Linked DNA regions of Mytilus edulis. The main gene of each other region encodes a partner of the protein of the gene in region 2 in a complex. Links are inferred from orthologs where the notes say so. Each region holds a gene or a part of one and is shown on either strand. Other genes may lie near its edges.

What was found.
Region 1: the proteins of elongation factor 1-delta-like (region 2) and elongation factor 1-gamma-like are in contact, whole or in part, in a crystal structure (PDB 5JPO), measured with the Homo sapiens proteins. The link is inferred for Mytilus edulis from reciprocal best matches to the Homo sapiens genes EEF1D and EEF1G. Residues at the interface, in NP_001123527.1 of Homo sapiens: Ala2, Asn4, Phe5, Leu6, His8, Glu9, Ile11, Trp12, Phe13, Lys15, Phe16; in NP_001395.1 of Homo sapiens: Tyr9, Trp13, Arg14, Phe40, Gly41, Asn44, Gly56, Lys57, Val58, Ser104, Val107, Pro108, Ser111, Thr112, Phe115, Ile120, Met121, His123, Asn130, Glu134.

The regions. Positions count from the first base shown.
Region 1 is NC_092346.1:58,345,787-58,361,658, forward strand, and holds the start of elongation factor 1-gamma-like, read right to left. Parts: upstream 7,098-15,872; 5' UTR 6,991-7,097; coding exon 6,979-6,990; intron 6,856-6,978; coding exon 6,709-6,855; intron 4,318-6,708; coding exon 4,254-4,317; intron 1,372-4,253; coding exon 1,229-1,371; intron 768-1,228; coding exon 624-767; intron 1-623. Other genes in the region: calcineurin subunit B type 1, read left to right, coding at 7,146-7,148, 9,189-9,228, 11,298-11,474, 11,847-11,906, 15,670-15,854. UniProt on the Homo sapiens protein: Probably plays a role in anchoring the complex to other cellular components.
Region 2 is NC_092355.1:30,355,769-30,372,712, forward strand, and holds the start of elongation factor 1-delta-like, read right to left. Parts: upstream 8,760-16,944; 5' UTR 8,698-8,759; intron 5,838-8,697; 5' UTR 5,837-5,837; coding exon 5,741-5,836; intron 4,278-5,740; coding exon 4,191-4,277; intron 1-4,190. Other genes in the region: regulator of microtubule dynamics protein 1-like, read left to right, coding at 9,469-10,389; chromatin accessibility complex protein 1-like, read right to left, coding at 15,084-15,154, 16,515-16,635.

The DNA.
Region 1 (15,872 bases), on a different chromosome or scaffold from region 2:
ATAAAAGGTATATAATTGTATTATATGTCTCTGCTTAGGGCTTAGGCTAATGATGACTTTTCAATACTGTAACAGTTTATTTTTTACTGAAGTAGACAAGCTTAAAGTAACCAAACCATTTTAGTATGTTAAAAATTTATCAAATATGAACAAAGAGGTTCATTTAATGACCAAAAACACAATTTTAGATTTTTTTCATTGTAATCAGAATGTAATCAAAAAGTAATCATGATTACAGGGTATTTTGAAAAGTAATTGATTAAATTAAATTACATGTAATCAGATTTTTGGCTGATTAATGATTACACTGATTACTTGAAAAATTGTAATCAATTACAGCTGATTAACGATTACAATTACAATTACCCCAAGTCTGAATTGTGTAATTTATATCTTGTCCACCTGATTTCTTATGATTAAGAAATTCCACACAGTCATTTAAATGGTGTCTAGAAAATCAACCTGACAATGGTACAACTCAGTTATAGACAACAGCAATCATTGATAATGTTTATGAACTTTCCCCCCGTTAGTATGCATTGAAAAGATCAAATTGATTAGGATTGGCTTTAGCTGTGTAATTGACAAATTTTTGTAGACAAATCTTACCAATAGTTACTTACATATTTGTACAGGGACAATAGATTGCAAGCAACACTAATGTCAGCCTGGGTGATGCGTTCTCCTACCAGGTATGTACGTGTCAGCAGGTAGTTGTCTAACACAGACAGAGCTTTCTTCACCTGGGCCTTAGCACGCTCTGTTTCCTAAACAAAAAAATCAACAAGTTTTTACAAATGAGTTCATTTTTAAAATTGCCTTTTCTCATTACACACATACTATAAAAAAAATAATGCCAATACAAATATTATTTCTTCCAACATGAGGATTTCACCACACAAATTTGAAATAAAATAATTATCTCTGCTGAGTTAGGTTAAAAAATTACTTCTGTGGAATTACAACTTTTTTTTACTTCATGTCCGCCTTTAAATTTAAAATGCAAAATTTTTATATCTCCAACTTTAATTACAAGCATCAGCAAATGCATAAATCATCAAGCTGGACAAAATTGTGATTTAAACAATTCAAATTCACTAACAAGATGTGCAAGCAAATTTTCAAGAAATGTTCCTGTACTTCATTTTTGTACTTCACAGTTCTACCTCTACAGATAAACTGTAATTTGCAACATATGTCCTTATCTTGTTCTCTTAATTTTACATACCGTTTTGTTATACTGCACAATACCTAGGCATGGGTATACCCAGGTACAAGATGCTGGAAGAATCTCATTGTCACCAAAATTAATCCACTGTAGGATGAATGATGCATCTTTGTCATTCTTACCCCTCAACTGAGTGTTCCCAACTAAAAAAAAAAATTGACTTCATGAAATTCATCAATATGCCTTTGTTCATGAAATGAAGAACAAGATCAATAATTATGACTTTTCATCAGGAAAACTGGCAATCTAAAACTCCCAGCCAATTAAGATTGGAGTAGGGGCACCTGCACAAACTTAATGTTGAAAGGCTAGATTTTAATGCAGAGTTCACTCAGCAACCTAAACCCCAATATCATGAATATAATGTTTAAATGATAAATGTTCAACTTCCAGTGCTAAATAAAAAGCATATTTCAGGGAGAGATGTTGTTGTGTTGAGAATTTAAATCCTTCTTTAGGTAAGCACACTTCCACAAATCAACAGAGACTGCTGTCAAGCTTTGACCTTGACCTTCATGGGGGTTGATCAGCCATAACATGCCTACTTTGAGAAATTAGTTTTTTAGTTTTTTCAAATATCTAGTCTCTTGAAGTCAAATTTTCTAAATAGAAGCATGTGAATCCTTTCCAACACCATGCATACATTTAAATCAGCCATCATTTCAACAACTTAGAGGTTGAATATTAATACCTCTTGCTTACACTACAATTCTGAAAATACAATCCAATGATAGCCTCCACTATTATCAGTCACCACTTTTTTAATTTTACCTTGTTTGTTCAAAGAATTTTAAGATTAACTTTCTGAATGATCAATTTTTTTTGTTATTTGGCAAACACATTATTAGTTTATTCTCCTTAAAGATAGCCAGAAGATTAAGAACAATGGATGTGCTTACAGTGTTCTCCCCAGGCCGTTTTAGCGCCGCGATTTTCAGCGCTATTTCAATTTCCCGCTGTCCTATTGCACTGACCGCGTCGCTATCCCGTTCAACCGCGTCGCTATATTTTTTTTCGCTTTTTTTTTTAAATTTCCCGCTTATTTTTCTTTTCGGATCACGTGATTGACTGGTTAACGATTTTTGAAAGAATTATTAAAGTAACTCCGCGGGACCAGTCTAATAAATTTTACAAAATGGCGTCGTTGAGAGATCAAAATAAACAAAGATTTCAACATTGACATCTATTTAATGAATATATAGAGGCATATATGAATGAAATGAGAAGAAATAAATTGACCGTATTTCCCAACGACATTCACAAACTTGTTTAACGAACTTTGAACAAACACTGATTTTAACAACGATCAAATTGACTTCAATGAGCTAGTCTTTGAAGTATTAATTATCACCCAATCGAACTAATACCTGTTTAATCAGCAATTCTACAGTAATGAATTTTACCCTTTGAAAACAATTAAGAGGATATGATTATAAAAACAAACCCCAAGCTGATACTAGACTTGAGAAATTCACTTTCTCGATGTCCAGCTTGGGTGAAGCCAAGTTAAACGTCGTAAGGTTAACAGAACACTGCTACATGTTTTCGCTTTATAAAGATGCCGAAACGTATGAAAGGAATGGACAGTGCTAACAGAGACATATAATACATGTCTCGGGTGCTGAAAAGTTCATTTCTAAATTATATTTAAGGGAAGTTTTACCCCCTTCTCTGACAACGTTATCTCGTCCATTTTTTGAACCATCTACGATTATATCATTACTTTTTTTGCGTTTACAACCGAACTGTCGAACCTGTATTGCTAACCCGAATAATTCAGTCGTTATATTCCGCTGATCTACGATGGCTGCTCGTGTGGGAGAAAATCGGACACGGAAAGGGCTTGAATTATTCGAGTTACTGAATTGCTTGAAAGAAGCATCCCTGTTATCAAGGGATTCATTATAAGCCCGTATTTTACGATTACTTGACCATACATGGCTCTTTTTCAAATGGATAAGGGAATAAAACTAAACGAAAATTTTGTGTAAATATATATAAAATATCGATATTTGTCAACCAATCATCAATATATCTTAATTAAATATTGCTTTAAATTTAATGTAATCAGAGGATGGCTTGGATAAGGAATAGTATTTAATGCTAAAAAAAAGACATAGGTGTAAACAGGAAGTTATGTCAGCCAGTAAGGGAGATAATTTGGGAGGGAAAGACCTAAGAGAAGTATTGTCAAATCTTGACAAACTTATCTGGTGGCATGTATTCAAATGTTTATAAAATTATCAAACAAAACCTTTAAAGGTGGTAGTTGTTTCAATTGGCATTCATAATGTATTTGATTGGTAATTCACCTTTGAAATAAAAAAATCTCTTTAAAATGATTTGAATATTATTAAAAGGGCAATTTCATTTCTTCCTTTGAAATACTATACTCATTTTTATTGAAAAGTTGTACTTTGCTAGAAATGTTAATAAAAGTAAATGTAAAAAATACCAATCTTGTCATTGAAAACTTTCTCACAGAAGCTGACAATGACTTTATTGTTGGTCCTACATGTTCTGCAACATTACCTGTTAGTGATAAGAAATCTTCACATCTAGGCAGTCTGGTATAGACTCACCATGGAAAAGACTTCTCCTTGGGTTTTATAGACAGATAATATGAGGATTATATGTATTTACAATGGAGACAAAAAGACTTTTCTTCTATCATGTCTATATCCAGACAATAACATTAGCAAACAAAGGGGTAACTTCCATGAGCATGATGAGGACATCATAACAAGAGAAAACATCAATAGCATTATATAAGAAAAACACATAACAAATCAATTACAAACCAACCGCGCGCCGCGACAAAGTTACTGAGAATTGTCGAAAATCACGCGCTTACCACAGCGCTATCCAAAAATCCTGGGGAGAACACTGGCTTACATTTACATGATGTAGTACATGCATATTGCTCTTTTTTTGTGGTCCGACTTAACGTAGCATGTGCATGTCTAATTGTATGCATACATTTTGTAATTCATGCGAGTAAAAATAAAATATATAAAGTACATACGAAAGTGTGCAATGGCATTGCTTTCAAATATGCAATCTCCTCCAGCTGTAACAAATGCTGGAACCTGAAAAATAAAATGACATACATTTTAAAACTTACAAATACATACATTAGATCCATCTTACTTAATTTATAATCAAGTGAAAATTAATATTTTCCATTGCCACTCTCCATAATAATCATTAAGATCTAAATCTTAAATAGGGATGTGAACATTGGCATTATTGATAAAAGTTGGTTATTTTTTCTTTTTTACATTAAATCCTATGAAGACAAGAGAAAGTAAATATACATCATGATCATTCTGGACCATAATATACTGCATGTAGTTATTCTGAATATGATCACGCCTAAATTTATTAACCTGGTCATCTGATCAGAACAAACCTTGCTCTTCCTTCAGTTCTTACACATTTGCCATATGAACCAGCAAACATGCCTTGAAGGTTGCATCTTATTGGAAGACATAATTTCCTAAATGATTATTATTCTGAATGTTCATTAAGCTAGTAACAATGGATTAATGTGTTGACCGCCATTATGACACTGCCATACATCTTTACTTCTTTTTAATTTGCTATCAAGAACCCAATATTACCACACTATAATGATTATGAATTTTAATGTCCAGTGGAAAATATTACAAGCACATCAAGAGAAAATGTATAGCAATTTGTGTTCTGTCGTGACTTTATTCAACAATTACTGTATTAGTTTTAACTTGTTTTCCAAATTTTGTCTTATCTTATGTATTTGTATGTAATGTGATGAAAACTCTTTATACTAGGACCATCCGAGTGTAATTGTAAAAAAAATATTCTGTTTGACTCCTGCTATGGACTAAACCAACACATTAAGCTTTATTTTTTGTGTACTTAGATGAGTTTGCCAGACGTCACCCTACCTAGACAAATCACTGACTCTTAGTCTTACATGCACATTTTCTTATCCAGAATGCCAATGGGTCGATGTATAGGATAAGTAAATCACATACCCGTAGCCAGGGGGGTTCGAGGGTTGCGGACGAACTCCTCCCCCCTTGAAAACAAATTGTGACTGTTAAAGTAGAGTTCCCGAGTCCAAATACCCCTCCCCCCCTCCTTGGAAATTCCTGGTCTGAATCAGCAGCAAAAAACACAGAAAGTCATTCAGACACAAACTTGAACAAATAAGGAAGAAGGGGAGTTGGTATAACTGTCATTGAATCTGCCAAGGGATACTAAATGTCTATGTACCGCCATCTGACATTGCCCTTTAACAAATATCTGACAAGTTCATGTTTTGCCATGTAGATAAAATTTCTCAGCAAGAGACAATGCAAGAAAGATGAAAGTTTAACCACTAATTCAATTATGTGACAACTTTATTTGAATACATGTACATGTAGTTATTCTGAATATGAAAAAGTTGAATGGTATCAATCCTTCATGTGATCAGAAAAAAACCTTTCTCTGCCTTCAGTTCTTACACATTTGCCATTAAAAACCAGCAAACATGCCTTTGATGAAGGTTCTACATTTTTTTATCATTCAAGCAAACAAAAAGATTATGAACTTTCAATAAGAATATCAAATATTTGTCACTATATAGCAAAATACTAGCAACAATTGATCAATCATGTGTTGACCCGACTGTTACGTGTAAGCAGTACAATACACCTTATACAAGTTATAGCTACATTGTATTTGTCCATGGTTCCATGAAATTTTTAGGTCATTATACAAATATATATGTCGCCTAAATGGAAAAGATTGTTGTATGACATCAATAGTTCAAGCCAGACAAATTCTCTAGGTCAGCTTGGAATATAGATAAGGTGTTTATGGGCACCATTCATGTAAAATTTCTGACGTCACAATGGAAAAATGATTGTTGACAATTTGTTGTACGCCAATAACAGTTCAAGGCAAAATGGGGCAGATTCTCAGGTCAATAGGGACAGATTTTCAAATAGCAATACACTTTTCTATTGTGGTGTCAGATTTTGTGGGAACCTATGTGGTATACAGTAATGGCGGTCAATTAGCGATAAGGTGTTTAAGGTGACATACAATATTATGTGTACAGCTCTTGAAATTACTTCTACTTCTATGTGGTTAATCTGCAGTCAACGCAGATACACTGTGCATGTGTGTCAACCAGTACAAGCCAAGTTAAAAATAACAAAAGCTTTTGAGTATTTAGAGGAACAAAAACAAATAAAAATTAATTTACAAAAAGAGGAAAATCAATAAAAATAATTTTGATGTTAATTTTTATGCAAAGAACTGGCTCGTTAGTGGACAGTATCATATATATGCATATCAGATGTTTGTTAATTCTACAAATGTACCATCATCTGCTAGTCAAAATCCGTAAAAATATTGTCTGCATTTTCAGAGTTTATTTCTCGACACATATGTATCTTACCCATATCAATGTTTCGATGTGTGACCACATTTAAAAAGCGACTTACTTTTCCAAGCGGAAATTTAGACAAGAAATCTGGAGTTTGGTTGGTTTCACCGAACTTGAAACTTGCAAGCTTGATTGTTGTACGGCTGTACTCCGCTGCAATTTGAGCTTTGAAAGCTCTGAAGTTGTCAGGGTATGTGTAAAGAGTCTACAAAATTAAAAAAAGACAAAGATTATTTATTGTTTTTCAGTTTTCCAGAGGTAAATTTATTGTTTGAGGAAAGATTGCGTTGATTCTATATTGATTGTCACGTATGTCAATGTGTAGTACCCCTGTAGCCATTGCACCGGTAAAAAAGGAAGTTACATTTGAACTTTCCGGTATGTCATGCGCTTTTCGATAGAATTGCTTCAAGTGCCCGGATGTTTCGTCTAGAGTTGTCAATATCGAACTAAAATATTTAATTGATCGAAACAGAAATACAGTTTTAGTTGAAAATGGTAACATAAGTGCCTCATTGAAACATATTTGATGTTGCATATTTGTTATGATATGATTTTTGTATCCTACACTCTAAAATACAATAATTTTGGTTCATTTGTACCAATTTTATGTCCATGATTCTGAAACTGGACAGGGAAAAAGGGGGAAATTTTGGGTACAACCTCATCGATGTCAAATACTCGATGCTTCAACTACATTTTCTAAGAAACTATTACTTCTGTATACGTGAATTAATCAATTGCAAAAAGAAAGATTTTCTAACAGACAACACATTTACAGCATAATAATTAATTTAATATCAATAAATGTCCTTATAAGGTCTACATCGTAGGTTGATTTATCAGCACATTGCATAAAGACACTTAATAAAAAGTAACAATCTGAGAGTCCAGTAATCAAAAATTAAATTTGTGCAAAAATAAAAAAAAATAACATTTACATCAATACATGTCTTACATGTATATACAAACAAGGTACGTAGATATCTAAATATACTGGCTTTGGATCAGTATTTTAAACCAATCCTTTTAAACTGATCCAAAGAATTATAAACACTAATGATGTTTTGTGGAAGTAAATTTCAGAGTACAACTGAGTATGGAAAAAAGCTGTACTGAAAGTAATCTGTTCTGGTGCTGAAAGTTTGAGATTGTATAGTGAGGGTGGTAAAGGGTTATTTTCGTGCAACGTTTTCCGCCTTTTTAATTCACGTGTTTTCGTGTTTTGAAGTTTTATTTCTCGTTTTCTCGTGTTTGGCTCGACGTGCGTGCCTCGTGTTCTCCTTTATTTATTTTCCGTGTTTCGTGTCATTACTCTTAATTTCTCGTGCTTGTCCTGCAATTGATTAAGAGTACGGCCGGGATTAAATTCAAAGCCCCGGTCAGTCTGGAGATTGATTTAAATTATGTGTTCCCATGCAGAATATTTAAAATTGCTATAATTAATTATTATGATCTATTATGAATAATATTTTTCTTTCAAATCAGTTGCGACTAGCCGACGCTAAAATGTGACTGTAGGGTCATCATGTCCATCATATATAATGGCTAGATGATCTCCAAGAACGGCTGATTAATAAATTATTTTACTTTTTACATAAATTTTTACTATTTTATTTCTCGTGCTTCGTTTTTTCCGATTTTTATTTTCCGTGCAACGTTTTTGCCATTTTTATTTCACCTGTTTCCGTGTTGAGGGCCCCCCTTTACCACCCTCTATAGTGAGTCTGGTGTTTTTATCTGGCTGTGGTGTGAGGTAAAGATTTGAATCGACTGCTATAAGTTGGTGTGTGATCTCAGACATTATAGTTACTTGATTAATGTTTCTGCGAGTTTCTAGTGACTTCCATTTAAGATCGTCAATCATGGAAGTGGCACTACTGGTGTTATGGTACTTGTTGGTGACGTAATGTGGTCCTTCTTCATGTTCTTTGTACCTTTTCAATATTATTTTTTTTGTTTTTGGGTGTTAAAGGGGACCAAACTGAAGAGCCGTATTAGAAGTTTTATCGTACCATTGTTTTTGCGAGCCAAACTTTTTGTTTCTTCCTGATTAATTTTCAAGTTTCTTCGTAAAAAGCCTAACATCTTGTTTGCTTTAGCTGTGATGTTGTTGGTATGGGTATCCATAATATCCCATGACATATTGTTGGATACATCTGTTTGGCAATACATGACATCGATTCAAATTGGACACGCTAAGAGTATCACAATATTGGATGTAGATTTGAGAATGTGGAGTCAGATTAGAACGTTGATTTGAGGAACCGGCGTCGATTCTTTCAAATACATATCAAGTAAATATTGCTATGACATATGTTTATGTTATTATAAAATCAGCTGCCAGTCTCAAGTCATTATAATATATACATATTTTGTTTAAGGGCCAGATAAAGCCTGCCTCTAGATGTGGGATTTTCTCACTGTGTGGAATACCCATTGGTGGCTTTTGCTGTTTTCTGCTCTTTGGGCAGGTTATCTCTTTGTGTGACACATTCCCAATTCTCAATTTTAACTTATTGCTTTTATCTGTTTTAGGGAAATGAAGCATCACTTCCTTTGGAATTATGTTCAAACTGTAAGTAGATTTAAATATGATTTGATTGATACTTGCGAATAAAAAGTTTTTATGTTATTTTGAAAAATTTCAGATGATATGCCTTAAATGAATTTCAAACTAATTTTCACAATGTTGCCTTTTATCTTAAGAATTATATTTGAAATTTGAAAAGTTAAAAATGAACAACAATACAGATGATACAAGATTTACTTAACGGCCAATAGCAGTAAAAACTACTATTTAATTTTACTACATCTTATTAATATGGAAATTTAGATTCAACTTTTTTTATTTGTCTGCTGTTTGTTTTCGTCAATGTGTAAAGCTTTTGTCCTCTGTTTGATTTAGTCAATGTTTAAAGCTTTGAAAGTATGACATTTAATTATTGTTCAGCCACATTTTAAGTTCAAATGCTTTATTTAGAAATTGATGATTTTATAATTATCAAACATTTGTTGCAGTCTTTCATCAAAGGCTACTATATATAGCTATATTTACTGAAGTTAAATTCTTGGAATTTTAGGGGCCAATTTTGACCATTTGTAACATTCTCCAAATGACCTTCACCATGCCCACAAATATAATTGAGGCAGAGATGGGTCCGATTACTTTCAATGTAATTGATTAAATTACAATTACTTTGTCATTTGTGCGATTAAATTAAATTAACGATTACATCATTTCTGAAAGTGTCTGATTAAATTAATGATACATTGGCAAAGTAATTATGATTACATCTGATTACAATGAATTAAAAAAAACCTTTTGAATGATGTGAATGAATAAAAGTTCAATAGCATTTAATAGTTTTTATAGAATTTTTAGAAAGGATTAGGTTTGATATATTATAAAATGATAACTTTAAACCTCATCTATTTAATAAACCACGAAAGTTCACTACATACATACATTTATACATGAACATTGTGTCTATGGTTTGACCCATTACCTTCATCAAGATTGATCTCTGAATTATTTTGACTTCAATTGAATAAAGCTTTATAAAGAGTTTGCTGCTTGTCTTCTAACCTCTTCCAGACTTTATTTGTATTTCAAGGTGCAGTTTTATAGAATTGTTTAATTAAATTGTAAACAAAATTCAAATACTAAAAATCATTGCATTTTACATGTCCAGTCCAAATACATACAAAATTTTGCTTATTTTAAACAAGATTTTTTTCCCCAACTTTTAATTTAGTTTGTGTTAATTAGAGAAATTTTGAATGTCTGATTAATCTTTTATCATATGTATTGTCCTGCAGCTATACTCATTTGGTAATTTCAATAAAAACAAACCTTAATTGGTTATCTACCTGTCAATTCAAAGTTGACAAAAATATTACCAAAAGATAATAATTTAGGGTTAAAGATAATTATCACTAGAATATAACAGTTATTATCAAATATGTATATGTACATCTTTAAATTGTCAATATATGTACAATATTTTTTACTAAGGCCAAAGACATATAATTGTATTTATATGTCTCTTAGGATAATGGGGGCTTTTATATACTGTAACAGTTTATTTTTAACTGAAGTATACAAATCAATCAACATGCTTAATAAAGTAAACCAAACTATCTTAACATATTAAATATTTATCAAATAAGAATATTAAAAATGTTAATTTCTTGACCATCAACATTGTAATCATAATGTAATCAAAAAGTAATCAGGATTACAGGGTATTTTGAAAAGTAATTGATTAAATTAAATTACATGTAATCAGATTTTTGGCTGATTAAAATGATTACTTGAAAAATTGTATTCAATTACAGCTGATTAACGATTACAATTACCCCAAGTCTGAATTGAGGTCCTGATCTTGAGGACTTGGGGTACAGATAAATTACATGTATTTAAATCAAATATCTGGTTGGAGGTATGAAAGCAAATTTCTTATAAATTTTCTTGCTTCATTATACAATACTTCATAATACAATTAGTTTTTGAAGTAACTTTACATGTGAAAATATATAAAAAATGTTTGTATTAATTGTTGGACCCTTTCTTGAAATATTTTGTTTAGGGTGATGCAAGTGCAAAGTCTATATAATAATATAATTTTGATTTATATTTTTCAGTTGATGCAGATGAAATTAAAAGACTTGGTAAGCGGTTTCGTAAATTAGATTTGGACAACTCTGGATCACTGAGTGTAGATGAGTTTATGTCATTACCAGAATTACAACAGAATCCTTTAGTACAACGAGTAATAGATATATTTGACACAGATGGTAATGGAGAAGTAGATTTTAAAGGTAATTTATCTCAAGAAATATATACAACTTTTAGTTAAACATCAATATTCTGTTTAGATAAGAAAATAGATTCTGTGTTACTGATAACATGGATAACATATAAGAATATTATTGCCAAAATTGAAGGAAAACAGAAAAACTATAATTATATAACTGAGGTAAACTTTACATTTTTATAAGAAATTTATGACATTAATCTTATTCAGTTGTTTAAGGAGCCTTACAAAACTTAATTATTAGAAATATGTTTCAAATTGACTTAAAATTCACTTCAGGTACATGTAAATTAATAATCAGAGTTTAGCTCTTTTTCACAACTCTATCTAGGAAGTGTTTTGTTCTCCTGTAATTAGTGATATTTTTCTTTTACAGAATTCATAGAAGGAGTATCACAATTTAGTGTTAAAGGAGACAAATTATCTAAATTAAGATGTAAGTACAATAAGTTTTGTCTAGGTTACCTGCTGACTGACCCTGTTTGAGGTCTTTTCCAAGAGTCATAATTGTTTGGTTTTTGTCATTAAGAATCATCTTACTGAAAAAGTCAAATTCAATATACATGTACCACTTTGAGTACTTCAGTAATTTATTCCTGTATGAAAATTGTCCTGATGAAGCCTGCCTTGCAGGTGAAACATGTAGACCATAGCATATAAAATTGCAGACCATTTGGAAGTTTTTTTTGTCAATTTGGAGTATTACATTTTGTTATGTTACATGGATGCTAGTTATTCATGCTCTGCTTTTAAAATGACAGAAAAAAATAATTTTGGGATCGTATGATGGTATGCTGTCTTTGTTGTCCGAAAACACATTGGTTTCCAGACAATAACTATAGTTTATTAGTGAATAGATCTTAATGAATTTTTTTCAGAAGGTAAAATACCACTAAAGGAAGATTGGGATTGATTTTGGGGATTATGGTCCCAACTGTTTTGGAAAAAGGGGACCACAAGCATTTTTCTAGTTTCAGGATAATAACTTGTGATAAATATTTCGATTGCTCTAAAATTGTACCACAATGTTTAATACCACAAGTAGAAGTTTGGGATTCACTTTCGGGGTTATGGGGCCAACAATTTAGGAATAAAGGACCAAATAGCGACCAAAAAAAACAGCATTTTTCTAGTTTCCAGACAATAACTTATGTGTAAGTGTATGGATCTGTCTGAAATTGTACCACAATGTTCTATATAACAAAGGGAAGGCTGGGATTGAGTTTGGGGTTGATTGCACCAAACATGTAGGAATTAGGGGCCAAAAAAGGTCAAAAAGAAGCTTTTTATACAACCGCAAAAATTTTAATTTTTTGGTCGTATATTGCTATCACGTTGGCGTCATCGTCGTCGACGTCGTAGTCCGAATACTTTTAGTTTTTGCACTCTTAACTTTAGTAAAAAAGAATAGAAATCAATGAAATTTTAACACAAGGTTTTTGACCACAAAAGAAAGGTTGGGATTGATTTTGGGAGTTTTGGTCCCAACATTTTAGGAATTAAGGGCCAAAAAGGGCCCAAATAAGCATTTTCTTGGTTTTCGCACAATTACTTTAGTGTAAGTAAATAGAAATCAATGAAATTTAAACACAAGGTTTATGACCACAAAAGGAAGGTTGGGATTGATTTTTGGAGTTGAGGTCACAACAGTTTATGAATTAGGGGCCAAAAAGGGGCCCAAATAAGCATTATTTTTGTTTTTTGCACCATAACTTTAGTATAAGTAAATAGAAATCTATGAAATTTAAACACAAGGTTTATGACCATAAAAGGAAGGTTGAGTTTGATTTTGGGAGTTTTGGTCCCAACAGTTTAGGAATAAGGGGCCCAAAGGGTCCAAAATTGAACTTTGTGTGATTTCATCAAAAATTAAATAATTGGGGTTCTTTGATGCGGAATCTAACTATGTATGTAGATTCTTAATTTTTGGTCCCGTTTTCAAATTGGTCTACATTAAGGTCCAAAGGGTCCAAAATTAATCTTAGTTTGATTTTAACAAAAATTGAATCCTTGGGGTTCTTTGATATGCTGAATTTAAAAATGTACTTAGATTTTTAATTATTGGCCTAGTTTTCAAGTTGGTCCAAATGGGGGTCCAAAATTAAACTTTGTTTGATTTCATCAAAAATTGAATAAATGGGTTCTTTGATATGCCAAATCTAACTGTGTATGTAGATTCTTAATTTTTGGTCCAGTTTTCAAATTGGTCTACATTAAGGTCCAAAGGGTCCAAAATTAAACTAAGTTTGATTTTAACAAAAATTAAATTCTTGGGCTTATTTGATATGCTTTATCTAAACATGTACTTAGATTTTTTATTATGAACCCAGTTTTCAAGTTGGTCCAAATCAGGATTCCATATCAAGTATTGTGCAATAGCAAGAAATTTTCAATTGCACAGTATTGCACAATAGCAAGAAATATCTAATTGCACAATATTGTGCAAAAGCAATTAATTTTCAATTGGAGTTATCTTTCTTTGTATAGAATAGTAGTTGATAATATATGTTGGAAATTTGCCAGACATGACTATGATGTCATTTTCTATTTTTATTTGCCAATAATTTTATGTAAATAACTTCGTTGGAAATTTGCCAATATGAAATGTTGCTGATGAAGCTTTTTTTCCTTATCTTATCTAAAATGTTTTTAGATAATGTATGTTGGACATTTGCCAGACATTACTATGATGTCATTTTCTATTTTTATTTGCCAATAACTTTTGTGTAAATAACTTCATTGGAAATTTGCCAATATAAAATGTTGCTGATGAAGTTTTTTTTATTGTTTTATACAATAAACAATGTATATTCACTTTTACTACCAACCAATCTTTACCATTCAGTGATAACAAGCACTTTATTTTACATTTTAATATTTTATGATGTATTTAAAAGAGTAGTTATTGTTGCAAACTCCATTAGAATTTTGAATTGATATCAGTTTTGGAAAAAGGGAAACGGGGATGTGAAAAAAAAATGGGGGGGGGGGGGGGGGGGGGGGGGGTTAAATTTTTCTCATTTCAGATTTCATAAATAAAAAGAAAATTTCTTCAAACATTTTTTTGAGAGGATTAATATTCAACAGCATAGTGAATTGCTCAAAGGCAAAAAAAAAATTTTAAGTTCATTAGACCACATTCATTCTGTGTCAGAAACCTATGCTGTGTCAACTATTTAATTTTAGATTTAAATAAGTTTGAAGAAGAAATCTTTAATTGATTTGTAAAATCTTGACATTTGTTTTGTGTAAAAAAAACCATGTAATGTCAAAAATTTGATCACAATCCAAATTCAGAGCTGTATCACGCTTGAATGTTTTGTCCATACTTGCCCCAACTGTTCAGGGTTCGACCTCTGCGGTCGTATAAAGCTACGCCCTGCGGAGCACCTGGTTTCTAGTTTCCAGACAGTAACTTGCGTTTAAGAGTATAGGTCTCTCTGAAATTGTACTACAAGGTTCCATACTACAATGGAAAGGCTGGGATTGAGTTTTGGGGTTATTGTTATTGCTCCAAGGGTGAATTTGTTAACAATTTTTCAAATTTCAAATTTTGGAAAAGTTTCAAGATGAAATCTTCAATTGCACAAGTAACAGTATTGCACAATAGATTTGTAAGATCTTTGACAACATTTATTTTGTGTCAGAAACCTATATTATGTCAAAAATTTGATAACAATTCAAATTCAGACAGTACCAAGCTTAAATATTGTGTCCGAATTTACCTGAACTGTTTAGGGTTTGACCTCTATGGTCATATCAGGCTTGGCTTAGCGAAGCATTTTATTTTAATATTGTTTAGGTACACATTTTTAGTGAATTTTAGTTAAGCCACGAATATAGATGTTCACACAAGTGCCAATTATCTATAAGCTTGTATGCAAACTTTGACAAAAGCATGAAATCAAATATCCATGAAAATTGGTATCCATAAAAATGAATAAATTAACAGTCACAGTTTATAGTTGATGAATGACAAAGACAGAGAATTATAGCTTTATAGCTTGCTGTTTAGTATCAAGGCTCTGTTTTGAAAGTGGTACTTTGACCTATAATGGTTTACTCTCACAAATTGTGATTGGATGGAGAGTTGTGTCATTGGCACTCATGAATATCATATTTTCTTATATCTATATAACATATTTCTTGAAACTTTATTTCCATCTTACCTTCTGAACTTTATACATTTATAATTTCAGTTGCATTTAAGATATATGACATGGATAAAGATGGATATATATCTAATGGAGAACTGTTCCAGGTGCTTAAAATGATGGTAGGAAATAATCTCAAAGACACTCAGCTACAGCAGATTGTAGATAAAACCATTATACATGCAGATACTGATGGTGATGGCAAAATATCATTCGAGGAATTTTGTTCTGTAAGTATCGTGGTTGGT
Region 2 (16,944 bases):
TGACCTGATAAACAATTTTACCACATGTCAGATTTGCTCTAAATGCTTTGGTTTTTGAGTGATAAGCCAAAAACTGCATTTTACCCCTATGTTCTATTTTTAGCCATGGCAGCCATCTTGGTTGGTTGGCCGGGTCACCGGACACAATTTTTAAACTAGATACCCCAATGATGATTGTGGCTAAGTTTGGTTTAATTTGGTCCAGTAGTTTCAGAGGAGAAGATTTTTGTAAAAGATAACTAAGATTTACGAAAAATGGTTAAAAATTGACTATAAAGGGCAATAACTCCTAAAGGCAGTCAGAGCTCAGACATAAACAAGTCTATTTTTGTTTTTGACTTAAAGAAGTCAAAACATGTATTTATCATAAAAATGTGTTTTCAATTTTAGACTTATCTAAGTCATAAAATGATAGACTTGTTTAGGTCTATTTATATTGATGAAAAAACTTAATTTCACTTGGTGGCCAAACTACACAACCTATGACAGCAAAAACCTGTCTGAGAGTTCACAAGGACTTGAGCTATCTATATGTAATTGTCTAATTGAACATCCTTACTAAACACAGATGTTTTTACTCATTAAGTGTAGTACCAGGTGGTTGCATTGTAAGGTTAATTAACATTATCTCCGATTTTTTAGACTCTCATTCATATTTTTCTTTAGAAGACAAAGCATTGGCTTTCAATGTTGTCATTATTTGATTTAGATGCATGACCTCCTTATAAATATGCGTGGGTCTTGAAGTTAACCAATTTTGATCACTTATCGACTTGTAGGAGTCAATATTTGCAACTTTTTGATTCTGGTCAATTATTTCTTGCTTAACAACATTTGACTTATTAAAGTCGTATTTTGTCTTGCATTAAAGGGGGACTAATCCTAAAACTTACAAATTTAGACCTCTATGAGTCAAAAGCAGATTTAGACTTATTTATGTCTGAGCTCTGACTGAAAGGGGTCAACAGACCATTTTGGTCATGTTGACTTGTTTGTAGATCTTACTTTGCTGAACATTTTTGCTGTTTACAGTTTATCTCTATCTATAATAATATTCAAGATAATAACCAAAAACAGCAAAATTTCCTTAAAATTACCAATTCAGGGGCAGCAACCTATCAACGAGTTGTCCGATTCATCTCAAAATTTCAGGGCAGATAGATCTTGACCTGATAAACAATTTTACCACATGTCAGATTTGCTCTAAATGCTTCGGTTTTTGAGTGATAAGCCAAAAACTGCATTTTACCCCTATGTTCTATTTTTAGCCATGGCGGCCATCTTGGTTGGTTGGCCGGATCACCCGACACAATTTTTAAACTAGATACCTGAATGATGATTGTGGCCCAGTTTGGTTTAATTAGGTCCAGTAGTTTCAGAGGAGAAGATTTTTGTAAAAGATAATTAAGATTTACGAAAAATGGTTAAAAATTGACTATAAAGGGCAATAACTTCAAAGGGGTCAACAGACCATTTTGGTCATGTTGACTTATTTGTAGATCTTACTTTGCTGAACATTTTTGCTATTTACAGTTTATCTCTATCTATAATAATATTCAAGATAATAACCAAAAACAGCAAGATTTTCTCAAAATTACCAATTCAGGGGCAGCAACCTATCAACGGGTTGTCCGATTCATCTGAAAATTTCAGGGCAGATAGATCTTGACCTGATAAACAATTTTACCCCATGTCAGATTTGCTCTAAATGCTTTGGTTTCTGAGTTATAAGCCAAAAACTGCATTTTACCCCTATGTTCTATTTTTAGCCATGGCGGCCATCTTGGTTGGTTGGCCGGGTCACCAGACACAATTTTTAAACTTAATACCCTAATATTGATTTTGGCCATGTTTGGTTAAATTTGGCCCTGCAGTTTCAGAGAAGAAGATTTTTGTAAAAGTTAACGACGACGGACGACGGACGCCAAGTGATGAGAAAAGCTCACTTGGCCCTTCGGGCCAGGTGAGCTAAAAAAATGTATTTATAACAGAGAAAAAACATAATGAACATAAAAAATATATTGAATCAAAATGTAAAAGTACTAACAGAAATCTAAATACAGATATGTTGAATATTGTCAGACTAGTTATAAAAGAGACGAGACTTCAAATATGCCAAAAATATTTTTGCATTTATCATGTTTATAGAACATGTTAATTTAGATGATGAATAAAAGGTGGATCACTTAGTATAGCACTATGGTATACACCTTGCTCAGAAAATAATTTTCAACATTTCTGTAAAACGTGTAAAAAAGAAAGAATATTTTGTATGTACATACAACATGTATGATGATTATTAGAAGAACAAAATAAGGGGGAATAATCTATGTATACAACATGTATTTGAACAAAAAATCAGAAGCATTTTAAAACAACACAATATTTTTGCTATATATACCAATACCTGAATGATGGCAAAAAAAAACAGAAAAGTGGAATGTAAAGTTAATTAACAGAATTTAAAAAGATCAAATTTTGATATACATGTAGTATATATGTAGACTTAACTTCTGTTTCTAATCATTACTAATTGCTTTTTTGAAGTACTAATTAAAAAATATATATATATAAAAAATTTGCTTCAATAAACTTTAATTCATAAAATAAATAATTCTATTAACTTTTTTTTATTAAACATTTTTACTGTATTTTCAAATGAATTTATTCACAGAAATAAATATCGCATTTTTAAGAAGCAAAAAGCAGTGAATTATAATCTATTTAGTGATAATCAACACTCTGTACTTATATATATATATATATATATATATATATAATTATTTTGCAGAATCAAAACACCATAAACACATGAGGATGCTAATTTTTGCGTCAGCAAATTTATTCATAACTTTTAAAGATTGAATGATTAAAAGCTAGGCATATGCATAAGGTATGGAAAAATATTGGTTGTTGAAGTCTGTTTATTGTTCGTCAATTTTCTTTAAGTATCATTTTGGTTATTTTGATTGTTGGTTTGCCATCTCAAGACTAATTTACCCAACATCTATTTTTCAACATTGATGACATTCAGATCAAATTGAATTTTTCATTTTCAGAATAACATGTGCAATTTTCATTTTACTGTTTAATGTCAAATCATGATGCGACCAAATTACAATGGAATTCAAACCAAACCTATTTTCTGAAGTTTTTGTATTTTTTTATCATGTTTATTGATGAAATTTCTTGATGTATATATATATTATATTATGTTTTTAAATTGAAATGTACAAGTATAATAAAATTACTAGTATTTAAATTTCAACCTTCATTAACTATTCTTGTAATCCATTCTATAAAATTTTACATCAAATATTATATATTCCTTTATATACATATTACATGATATAAGTGTGTGTACCTTTACCATGTTTATCTTGGTCTTCATGGTCTTAAGCATTTGTAAACTAAAGCAGGAATATACATAATGTATACAGACTGCAAAACATTAAAGCCCTAACTAACCAGATATGATGTAAAAATTAACATTGGGTTGGTTTATTCAACTTAAGGTGAATTGAAGACTGTTTTATAATAACTATCTGCATGTATTAAGAGAAAATATTCTTTCTTTTCTGTATAAAACACATTGATGCATAAAACAAAACTAATTTTGGTCCATGTAACTAAAGAAACAAATCTGTGTATTATACACATAACTTATTGATGCATAACACACATCTTTTATGCCAGATTAACTTGAGAAAAATGTGCGCATTATACACAACTGACTATGGTAATAACACAGTAGTCTGTCATCAAAATTGATTATTCAATGGCAGTCTACTGCCTTATTACCGTATCCAGTTATGTATAATGCACAGATTTTTTTTTGATTAATGGTGTGCAAGGTCATAATTTGTTAGGGCTATTCCAGAAAAAAATGTATAAGGGGGTTGGAAGGCACATTATATTAATAATACATGGGTGATGGGTATCAGAGCAACTTTTCACACTATAATGCACTATAATTCTCAATTACAATTGTCTGGGTGGTGGGTGCTGACAAAAACTGCCTTCCAACCCCCCCATACATTTTTTTCTGGAATAGCCCTTATAGAAATGTTAAGAAAAGAAAGACAGATAGCTATTATAAAACAGTCAGTTGTAACTAGATTGCTTTGCACTAAATATCTACATGCTTAAAAGAATGAAATAATAACATGAACAACAGCAATTTTACTCACAGAAGATAAAGCTTTTTGAATTTGTTGTCTGGCTTCAGCTATTTCATTTATTAATTTGCTTGACCCAGAATTCTCTTTATTATTGCCCTAGAAATATATGCATTTTTTATTTCAATATTTATAATCTATTTAATAGCGCCAAACAAAAAGGTCAAAGTATGGTTTATTAATTATTATTTTATTTTATTCCTCAAACATTTGTCAAAGGTTGCAGTTGTTTGTCCTTTATCATGATAAATTGATGAAAGCCACTCTACATAATATTAATCATATTATAAAATAAGTAGTAAGTACAAAAATGTATAATTTTATACACTTCACCATATACGTGAAATATGGATTATGTTATTTCCACACTTCTACGATTGGACCCTGGGAGAACACAGATTTAACAGAAATTTTATTATCCTGTTTATTCCACCAATATTTCTTTTTTTCTCTTCGTAAGAATTAATTTCCTATTTACAATGTGAGAATGATCTGATGATGTGTAAGCATTTGAATTCCAAATTTTTCAACAATTTTAAGGTTAAATTTCATGGGAGTTGTCGGAAATGGCTGCCCAATGTGGAAATAACAAAAACCAATTAGATTGAACATTGCTATTTTTGTTCAATCTTTATTTTCAGATCAGATCAATGTTGTACTTTTAGTTTTCTATGTGTATGTTAATTTTATTTTTATCTACAATGGTAACTTGATGAAGTTTTTATAATACGTGTGATATATAATTTACTGCATGCACTAATAAATAATTACTTATACATCATGATATACATTATTGATCCAAAATTTACAATGTTACAATAGCATCCTTACTATACATGCTATTTCTTAAATGATTTTGATGATAACTATGAATCTATAAAAAAATATTTGTGAAATATCAACAGAAGTTGTTCTGTTTTTTGCCAAATTCCAATAAAACATGCTTTCATCTAGGCCTACTTCGAATCGTCCAACTCGGGTTGACTTGAGTTAAAAGATCAGTGCTAATAAATGTGCATGTGGGCAACCAAAACTCTTCCATTGCCAGTTGAGAAAACTCTACTAACCCTGAGTAGGACAAATCGATGTAGGCCTTAAGAGCAAGCACATGAACATGTATCCGTTTACAGTTTATATCATTTCTATGGATATCTTGAAAAATTCAACATGTACAAATACAAATGAATACTGGTATCAGAATCCTATAGCTAGTAAAAGCTGAAATAGTAAGGTTAATACACATCATACATTGTGTTAATCCTGCCCAAAGATCTAAGGCCAAAAATAATAATACATGTTTCCGCTAACCCTAACTACCTGACTACCTTAATTTTTAGTGCCTACCCAACTCTTTTTATGCCAATTTGGACTAAGCATCTTTAAAGTCACAATACTTCCCTAATAGCAACCAGCTAAAAATTGTTTGTTAAAAGATTGATATTGCCTACTTTAATTTTTTTCAGGACGTTTACGGAAACACATATTAATTTTTTTGGCCTAAACAAATTTGTTACTCCTGCCCAAAGATCTAAATTAGTGTACATAGTTTTATGCAGACTTACAGATGTACCAGCAATTGTACATTGATAAACAGCTTCTGCATTTTCAAATTTCTGTTGGTCTCTCCATGTAGAATCTAACAATAGTGGTTGTGCCATCCTGAAAAAAAGAACCACTAGATTATAAACATATAATCTTATTTTACAAATTCAATGTATAACAAATTTGACAATACTCATTTGAATTGTTTAACATGTCATTTCTGGGCCTTTTAAAGTTGACTATATGGTATGGGTTTTGCTCATTGTTGAAGGCAGTACAGTGACATATAGATGTTTAATATCGGTGTAATTTGGTCTCTTGTGGAGAGTTGTCTAATTGGCAATCATATCACATTTCCTTTTTTTAACTTAAAGGGCTTGATACATTGTAAGGCCAAAATAAAAAGATTGTATGTTTGCCCAAACGCGACCGACCCAAAATAAACCCGCCGACTCAAATTCTTTTTTTGACGTTTTTTTGGAAGAATTTTTTTTTTCCGGATTTATTTTGGGTCAGCTCCGTCATCGTACAAAACTTAATGTTTGTCGTCTTTGCGTTTGAAAGTAATTGTGAATAAGATTAAAAGAAAGCGTATAAGAGACGCAGTTAATCGATATTCGATGTTCTCTGTTTTTATCTTCTGATTTAACGAACGTAAAGAAGTATAACAAGTGAAGTGGCACAGTTTTTTTATGCTGTAGTTGTTTGTACTACCAAACCCTTACCTATATGCTCAACATTAATTTCATCGTGTTATTGAATATCTGATAAGAATATTTGGGTAGATTTGTTCAAAACCATGTGCAATCGAATATTTTTAATGTTATTCTGACAGGAAATGGATCTGGAAGTTGCGAATTTATAATCTTGCAAGAAGATTTTGTTTTTACTGAATAAAAAGGAATTATTTCTTGATAAATTGTTGTCTTTAATTATAATCTTCCTTTATCATGTAAATTAGATGCCCTTTTATTCGAATAGTTCAAATTTACAAGTCTCATTAGACAGTCAGTACGTTGCTGTTTGGGAGAATTAGATAAAACTATAATTGCTCACAGAATCAGAAATATAATCTTAACTGAATGTCACTCCTTCTGAATAATTTATTGCAATATAAATATAAATCCCTTTTGACAAGAGAAATCTGACTTTTGTCAGAAATATTTTTTCACATGTGCAAAAGTAAAAACATGTTATGGACGCCATATTGGATTTTTATACAATTTGTGAGGAAGCCCCTAGAACCATGTCAGACCTAAAAATAAAGTCTTCAGAAAACGTTAACTTTATGCAATTTCATTTAATCAATAATGATTATTTTCAAAAATTTAAACTTGATTATTTAAAGAAATAAAATTATAACAAATACGTTTTTAGTTTGGAGATTCTACAGAACATGCTTTGATCTATTTATAGCCAAATTAGTTTACCTGTGTGATAATGTAAAATATAAATTTGTTTTCAAAACATAAAAAAGACACAAACTAAGGATGGTAGATAAAAATTCATATAAATATTTTAGGACATTTAATCTATTTTAATAGAATAGGATTTAAAAACTGCAAACAAATTTAATCATTACATAATCAGCTGATATTTTTTTTACACAAACATCGTGTTGATCATGTTGATGGAACTGTTGAAAATCACTTCACAAATCCAACAGCCCTTTCACACAGTTAGCAATTGTCAGGGTTATAAACATCTCAGGATACAAATCATATAGTAGACTAATTTATTTATAGAGGTTTTAAATTCATGGCTTTTGGTTGTCTCTACAAAGGTTTGACAGAGAAAAAAAAAGATATACTGTTTTAAGATCTTTTAATATTTTCATGCAAATTTGGAAAAAAAAAAGAAAAAAAAATTTGCCTACCTACCTACCCACACCCAGTCATCATGGGTCGGGTTTGGGCAAACTGAAATATTTTTAATTGTGGCCTAACTTGATAAATGTTAATGACTGTTGTTGTTTGTTGGTGTGGTTCACAATTGTTTCTTGTTTTTTTTACATAGATTAGACCTTTAATTTTAAGTTTTTAAATTGTTTTACATGTAGTTATTGTAGGGCTCTTTAAAGATTGCTGTTCCGTGTGAGCCAAGGCTCTGTGGTGAAGGCCTGATACTTTGAATTGTAATTTTTTTACTTTTTATACATGTACATTGGAATTGGAATGGAATACTACATCTTATTTATATGTGCAAAAAAAGATAGGTGTTCTAGTATTCATTTGCTAACAATATTCATTAAAAGTAATTGTTTTCGCTATGGAGGGGGATGGGGCTGTCAGAGGGGACCTGATAAGTGGCAGATCCAGAAATTTCATAAGTGGGGGCCCACTGACTGCCTAAGAGGGGGCCCGCTCCAGTGCTTCCCTATATAAGCAGCCAAATTTTTCCACCCTTGGCCCCCCCTAAATCCGCCTCTGTTGGTCCCGAAATCTCTGGCTTCAAACATGAAATCCTGAGGTCCAAAATTTAAAGAAATTTAAATCCCAGCATTCCAAAATTGGAAACAAGAATTCCAGGATCTCGAAAGGGTCTATCCTGAACACCCGATCCTGACATCTCCAAAAAGGTCTTCCCCCACCTCTACAAAACAGCAGGTCTTTTTTTAGCGCAATTGGTTAACAAAGCAGACATTCTCATAAAAAAATCTTTAAAAAATGAATGAACTTGTTGTTGAACATTACCAGTTTTTCAGAATCTTTTATCAAATTAAAATTTGTTTCAAAATCTGAGTGGACATCATAAGATGTCAACAGCTTGGAGGTGGGATTGACAAATCTGCCTGAGGCTGAGGCAGGTTAGTCCACTAGAGGCATGTATCTCATTAATTATCCCCCCTTTTTCATTAAAGTGGTTGACAATCTTAAAAACCACACCGAAATATCTTTTGACAAAGTTGATTGTATACAGTAGTTGATGATTTATCTGTGTTTGATTTTAATATAACTTTCTACGTGAGATTTCGTACTTTTTGATATATTTTTTTCTGAAGCCGGCTTTGTTCCACGATGTATAGGGAATAAAAGAAAGATTTTAGGACTCAAGATATAATTTACATAAAAGTACGGGCAGATTGAGAATAAAATCCGGGAACATAATGCACTGTACACTCTGGTAGAAATCAAATCTGTCATGACACATTAGAGGATAAATCTTTGTAAATAAAACGAACAAAACCATATTTTCTAGTCAACCATATTTCCTACTATTTATTGATTACTGATTCTTGTTTTCCGGAAAATAAATGAACCGAACTTGTTTCAGAGATTACTCACTGATTACACTGACAACATATTCAGGTGGCACGGTAGTATTTCCCTGCCATAGGCGACAATGTTAACATTTTTCAGATTTTCATGACTTTCTAACACTCCCCAAGACCTAAAACCTACTGTAACTTGAAGTACTTTCATTCAGATATTCAAAAATAAATGAGAAACACCATCATGACCGTTTACTTTTTTAGCTATTGTCACCAGTCTAAGGGAACCAGTCATTTACATCATATTTGGCCGCAGTAAATGCAATATTCTAAAAAAATTCTAAAAGATTTATTTCAATAGTTACATTTGAAAATTGCTATTTTTCAGACTCATAATTGGTTAAAATACTTGAAAAAAATGTTTCTGGTTGATAATCCATTTTAATGTCCAATCACAGTGTCATAAGTATTCACCTAAGTAGGGTACACAAAGGAGCAACCTAAAACGTTGGAAGCAAATACTACCGTGCCACCTTCATGATGCAAAGTTCATTGAAATTTTTTACAAAATTTAGACAGTCATGTGGCGTGGCATACAGATTCTTGAGGTCCCAGAGAAAGGAATCATATAAACAGTTCAAGAAAATCCAATATCCATTGTTTCCTGTACTGGCATTTCAACCTTTTGCAACAGTCCATGCTCTAAGTTTTGGGTTTGGAAAGAAAGAAGAGGTCAAAGAATTGACCAAAGAAGAATTAGTTGTTATAGAAGCTGATAAAATATATACAGCTAATGAGATACTTAAACTGTATGATTTCCTAATTCAGTACAAGGATTGTCAGAATGATGAAATTTTGTGGAGACTGGCAAGGGCTGCGAGCGACAAAGGAAAACTAGTTCAAAATACCAATGAAAAGAAAGCCTGCTTTTTTGAAGCCTTTGAATATGTCAAGAAAGCTCTAGAATTAAATGACAATAATTTTGCCTCTCACAAATGGTATGCCATACTACTTGATTACACAGCAGAATATGAAGGCACGAAAAAAAGAATTTCAAATGCCTTTCATGTGAAGGAACATTTAAAGAGAGCCAATGAATTAAACCCAAAAGATGCAACATCATTGTACTCACTTGGGTATTGGTGTTTTCTATTTGCAGACATGCCTTGGTACATGAGACAAATAGCTTCAGCACTGTTTGCTTCACCACCAACTTCAACTTATGAAGAGGCGCTGGCTTATTTTGAAAAAGCTGAAGAAGCAGATCCTAATTTTTACAGTATGAACTTATTGATGTTAGGGAAAACTTACCTCAGATTGAAGAACCATAATATGGCGCTGAAATATTTAACTAGAGCGAAAGATCAACCTTTAAATAAACCTGATGATGAAAAGGCTCACAAAGAAGCTCTGGAATTATTAAAAAGCATGGGTGTGAAATTAAAAGACCAGCAATAAGAATAACTTGATTATAAGGCTGTTCATTAATACAATTTTTTTCTTGAATACTCAGGTGTTTATTGGTGCAATTGTTCAAATCAATAACTATATATGTACTTTTTCAAAATACATGTAGTATAATATTTTACAAATTACCAAATTAGAATGTATGTACATACAATAAACAGTTATTTATTTGTGGCTTTATCAGTCTTACTTTTCCAAGTAAAATACTAAATGGCCCGGACATGATGTCAAACTAGTTCACCTCCATAAAAAAATAGGGGTGAAGTTTTATCCACTGTAACAATGTTATGTACATGTATATCCACCACAAATCTTGTATAGCTGGTAATGTTTCATATTCCGGACTTTTGTACACTTCCTAATTGATATTGAACATGATGAAAGCATCTAATTTTTTGGATTTTTAGAAAGTTTCTGTATCTTACTAAATGATTTGATAATTACAATAATTATAAATCATAAATGGAATGGTAATACTATAAGTACATGTGTTAAAATAGAGGATGGAATTACAGGAAATGGGAAATATGACAAAAGAGACAAAAACCTGACCAAAAGTTAACATCTCATTTCTATTGATAATTGTCAGCAGCTTAAATACTGTAAGTTCAGAAATTATTGTGTGCATTTATTTTTGCAATTTGTAAAAGATGGACAAAACTGGGAAGTTAATTGTTGAGATTTTAGGAATGCTGCATAAAGATATGTATCTGACAGATATCAAAATAGTAGTTCTTTTTATTACAAAACTTATCCAATAGACCACTTTCCAGTTCATCCATCACCGGAAAAAAATCGTCAATTATGCAGCCTTTATGACGTCATTTACCAGATAGAGGGGATCGCCTGTATCCCTGCACTATTTACGTTCATCAAGTGTCTTAGTGATCGTCATTGTGCAGGATAAACTAGAAATAATGGTCTGTCATTGTCTGTAGGTACTTAATGACAATTCCCTAATAACAGCAGTGCTGATTGTCAATTTTTTAGAATTCAATTTGCAGTATAATTCTTACAACATAGAATTCTAGTTTTCCAATCACTCGCTCAACATTGGAAAGGAAGTGACGACGCCCCTAAACGCACAAATGACGTTCACTAAAACCAGAGTTTTTGAAGGAAATGCATTGAACTCCAAAGTTGTCTATTGCATTATTTGCATTAATTGATAAATAACTTTTTGTACCTCACAATAAATTCTGAATTAAGTTTCACACATGTTTATATGCCCATCTCAAAAAGAGAGGTGAAATATACCAATTGGGCATTCAAACTCGTTAGTCAAAAATAAACTTGACAACACCATGGCAAAAAAAAAAAAATAACCAAATTAAAAAAAAAAACAAGTTGACAGTACACATACGGTAACACAACATAGAAAACTAACAACTAAGCAACACATCATAGGCGAATCCAGGGGGGCCCGGGTCCCCCTTTGGTAGGAAAAATTTGGTTGATTATATAGGGAATCATTGAAGCATGACTGGAGTGGGCCCCCCCTTAGGAAAAGTTCTGGATCCGCCACTGCACATGCACCAACCCCACCAAAATAAAGGGGATGATCTCAGTTCCTTAGGGATGCATATCCTGCTCAACATGTGGTACTGGTTGCCTCAATGTGTCTTGCCAATATGCTATTTTTACCCCCAGGATATTAAGTTTTATTTAAAAAAATATTCTCCTCCGTAATACACATCTCAGAGTCAGGTTCTCACTGAATAGTTTTGAGGGCAATTACAGTTTCAAATATATATGGCAAGTAAGAGTGAAAAGATAAAACTGTATTGGTATACAATTCATCTTCTTAGTGGATACACCATTTGACAATCTTCAGATAAGACCAGGAGGGATTCATGGACTTGTCTTATATTGAGAACCCTGAAATTCATACAATTTTCCAAATAAAATAGATGTGGTGTAGACATCATTGAGACAGCTATATACCCAAATGTCTATCTTGTCATGTTTTGAATCTTTCTTAGTATGGACAAGCTGTAAACAGAGACAACAATCTGTCAGTCAGCATCACAAATTCATAATTGTATAAAACTGGTGGTTTAATCAAGTATGACCACTGACAAAGGTTCTGACTGGACATATTTCATGTGTATTTACATGGTTAAAGAACTTTTAACAAATTTGAATTACTGCATGTTTTCCATTATTTTCTGTATTTTTAAATTTGTTTTTCATTTCTTCATACTTCTGATCTTATTTTTTTAGTCCATTTTTTTTTGGTGGTATTGGCCTGTTATTGATTTCTCTATATATTCTGTAAACCCCATCTAGACACTCCTAAATTGTGCTGAGACTTATCCTTTTTCATACAAGTAAATCTTTTCATTCATTGTTAAACAAATCATGATTTAGGTCTTCTCTGTTGCATTGTTTCGTAATTTTTTTTTATCCTGGTTTTGTTATAGCTTACTATAAGGCATGGATTTGGGTTATTTTTTAAGTCTGTATAGTGACCTATAGGCTATAATTGTTTGCATTGTTTCATTTTGGCCTTTAACTGGATATACAGCTGTTTATTTGGCAATTTTACAACATCTGAGAAAAAGATCAAACCACTTAATATTAACATTGACCAATGAATCATAAAATTAGGTCATGGTCAAATAATTTATGCCAGCCAGACCTGTACAGCTTGCAATCATTTAGACACCAGATGTACATGTAATGGTCTAATCATTAAAAGTACCTGAGAACAGATCAAACAACAAAATCTCAACATTGTCCAATGAACCATGAAGTTGGAGTCTAGGTAAGGGGTCATCCATAATTGTCAACCATTTTCCAAAGTGTACAAAACGTACACTTGGGGGGAGGGGGTTAAAAAATCAACATTTTTACCGTACGCTTTTTTTTTATTTCCGGAATTTATATCGTTTCCGTAGGGAAAGTCGATTTATAAAATCGAGAATTGGCTTGAGTGTTTCTCTTCTTATTTCTTCTTGATTATTTTCACTTGATGATATTGATTTTGATATCATAATTCTACTCAATCGGGATTGAACGATTAAAAGATCAAATCATATGAAAACTAAATCTTTCAAAAATGTGAACTAGTAAAATTATTTAAACAAAAAGTTTTTATGTGTCCTTTTGTTAATCTTTTGCATGCTCTAGGTGCCCTATTTTATTGGAGTTACCATTTCCACTGTGTGATAGGGGAAACACTAATCTTTGTAATCTTTATTCGGACAAAACACAAGCATCACAGATAGATGTCATCAAAAAAAACAGTCAGATATGTTTTAGTTTTTTTTTCAATGCAAAGTTCTATATTAAACTAAAATATAATAGACAGGATCTTCTTTTTATTAAGAATGACTGATTCTTCTCTTGAAATCTGAAAATGGTTGATGTACACTTTTTGAAGGAGGGTGGGGGGTCTGACAAAGTGTACGTTTTGTACACTTTGGAAAATGGTTGACAATTATGGACGACCCCTAAGATAAAACCTGTTGTGTGCACCTTAAAATTATTCCATACACCAAATTAAGTTAAGGTGGTACCCAACACCCTCACTAAAATTTATTTATCGTTTAATTTTCATAAAATTTTGACAAAGTATTTACTTTGACCATTTCACAAAAATATAAAAATTTCCAAAAATTTGAACCAACCATTTTATGAGAAAAATTACACTGGTTGTATAGCAGTTTGACAAACATTAGTTTGATTATTGAGAAGCTTATATTTCCTTAACAACACAGTGTAATTAAAATGTTTAGCTGATTTTACAGAGTTATCTCCCTGTAGTGTTAGGTACCACCTTAACCTAATGGTTAGAAATAGTATCACAGAGATACTGACTTGACCACTTCACTTTAACCTTGATACCAGATCTATGAAATGAGAAATGCAGAAAATGCAAGGATTTACCCATATACCAAATATAGTTATTATATTACTCATAATAATTCAATATTAGACTTGACAAACAAAACATGTTCAAGCTGTCACTGAACCATGAAAATGAGGTATAGGACAAGGGAAAAATGACAGATAGAAACATCATTACACAAGGTATGAAGCATCAAGGTCATCTCCATTCTGTACTATAGAGCTTTATACAAATTATAAATAAGCCGGCACCATAACTGGATTGTAATCCTTATGTCTCCCTTTCAGCATCATTCGTAGCAGACAAGAAGAACCATTATATCCTATCCCTTTTCTCAAAATTGATTGAGGCAAAAAGGATTGCTTGTTTTCATGCAAAAAATGCCTAGATAAATGCCTTAACATGTAAAGACTAAGAAAATACAGTAATACTATGTGAACCTGAAATGAGACAACCATAAGGACACAGAGAAATGAAAACATAATGCCTCCCTTACTATTGTACATGACAGAATTGAAACCAGAACAGTGTCACTTTTGACATTTTATTCATTATTTTATAGTAAGACTGCTCTCTAACATTTCAATCTATAACAACAGTAATTAAACCATATATGCTGGATTGTATCAATTTTATATAAAAAGTTAATTGCATGATTCTGAAAGAAATTACTGTTTTTTACATCAGATTTATAATTTCATGTACATAAGTGTATTTTCGTGTGCTATCATACTTCATAAGAACATGTGGAATTCCTTTTCAGAATTGACCAAGACCAAGACCGTCAAGATTATTTTGTCTATTTTTTTCAGGTTTAAGAAAGATAACTCTGTCAACTTTCATCTTCTTCCTTCTGTTTAATGGAAAGATATTCAGAATATTTAATCTTCCTTGGAATAATATCTGAAAAATAAAAAATGATTACAAAGCATTTTGTAACAAATTTCGACTAGAATGATTTAATACCTGTCACCTGGATTAATAGTCTCTTTTGGGACAATGTTTGAAAAGATGAGCGATAATTTTTTAACACTGTATTGTTGACTTTAAACATTTTAAAGCATTTATCTATTGTTTTTTTTTAAAAGTCCCATAAAATTAAACTTGAGAAAAACTCAAAATCAGCATTTTTAATTTCCTATGGAAATTAACATTGGAAGGGGAGATAACTCTGCAAAAAAGTCTTTATTTGGTCTTTTTTTGGTTAATTTTCTTTTAAAAAAAATAAAATTAAAGTATGCTACTTTGATGGGGTTATAAGTTCATATTTGACTATGTTATATAATTTTCTGCTCATGTAATGTACAAAACCGAAGTGATATGGGTATTTTAATTTTTTTGTGTGCATTTTTCATCAAAGAAATTGCAAATTTGTGACCATTTTGAAAAAATAATGTCAAAATTTGGTATGGTTTATATCTGTATATTATATTTGTTCAGCAACTTCAAACACTTTAAACCACAAAAAGAAGAATATATTCTTAATTATTTTATTAAATTTGAGATTCTTTACCTTGACATGTTGAAAAATTCAATAAATAGTCAACTAATACATTACACAATGTAGATTGTGGCTTGATAAAAGATATGAAAACATCTTTAGAGCTGTTTGGTATACTCTAAAAATGGTTAAAATATCAAGAAATAATGCATTCTGTTGAATAAAATCGGTAATGTTATAACTTTGTATCAATTTTATTGAAATTTCTGACTTTTTTGCAGAATTATCTCCCAATTCAGCTGCTATTCAACATGTTCAATGCAAATCTTCATAGGAATTTTAAATTGTGATTTTTTAGTCTTCCTCCAGTAAAATTTTATGGGACTTTTTCCTGTGTATATTTATGATATAATGCTGAATATTAAAACTTAAAAATCTTCTGTTGCAATTACTTTAAGGTTAGGGTCAAATTTATGCTAGATTGACTGGACTATAATGAGTCTTAACCATTTAGCAATAAAAATTGATTCACTACTTTTAGTACTAATGGTGTGCTAAACCCTACCAAATACAGTCTTTTGTTAATGTCGGGTTGATTTCTTATTTTTGTTTTTGGGTCCGGTCAGTTGAAGTCCAACTCTAGGTACAGGATTTCTTGCAGCGATAAAGACCTGTAGGTGGCCTTTTAGAAGTTCTGCTTTTTTCTACTCTTGGGTGGGTTGTTGACTCTTTGACACATTCCAATATTCCATTCTCTATTCTATTCTAATACAAAGATCTGTTTTGATCAGATTGGAAAAATTATGAATCTTGAATACAAACCTTGTAAAAACTGGAGTACATCTTCTGAGTTAACTACTTCAGCTAAGTCTTTGTAGTCTACACTGTTTTTACTTTCATTTGTTTCTAATGAGATCATGGCTAAGTTCTGTATAAACAATTCCTGAAAAATTAATATATTTAATGATGACTTACAGGCTACAAATTATTGAAATATATCTAATATATACAATGACAAACTATAACATGTACAGTGGAGTCCCCGGTGTCCGAGCGGCCGGTGATATCGCGCAATAGCTGATTTTGTCATATCAACACAGTAACACAAATAAAATTGAATTTGTTCTTGTTATTGTTTTAGCATGCAGAAGGGAAAAAAAGAATAAAATTGATAAGTTCAAGAGTTAAATAATAATGATAATAACTGCAATCGCGTGATTTACAATATTTTGCCAATTTCCATTAAAAAAAA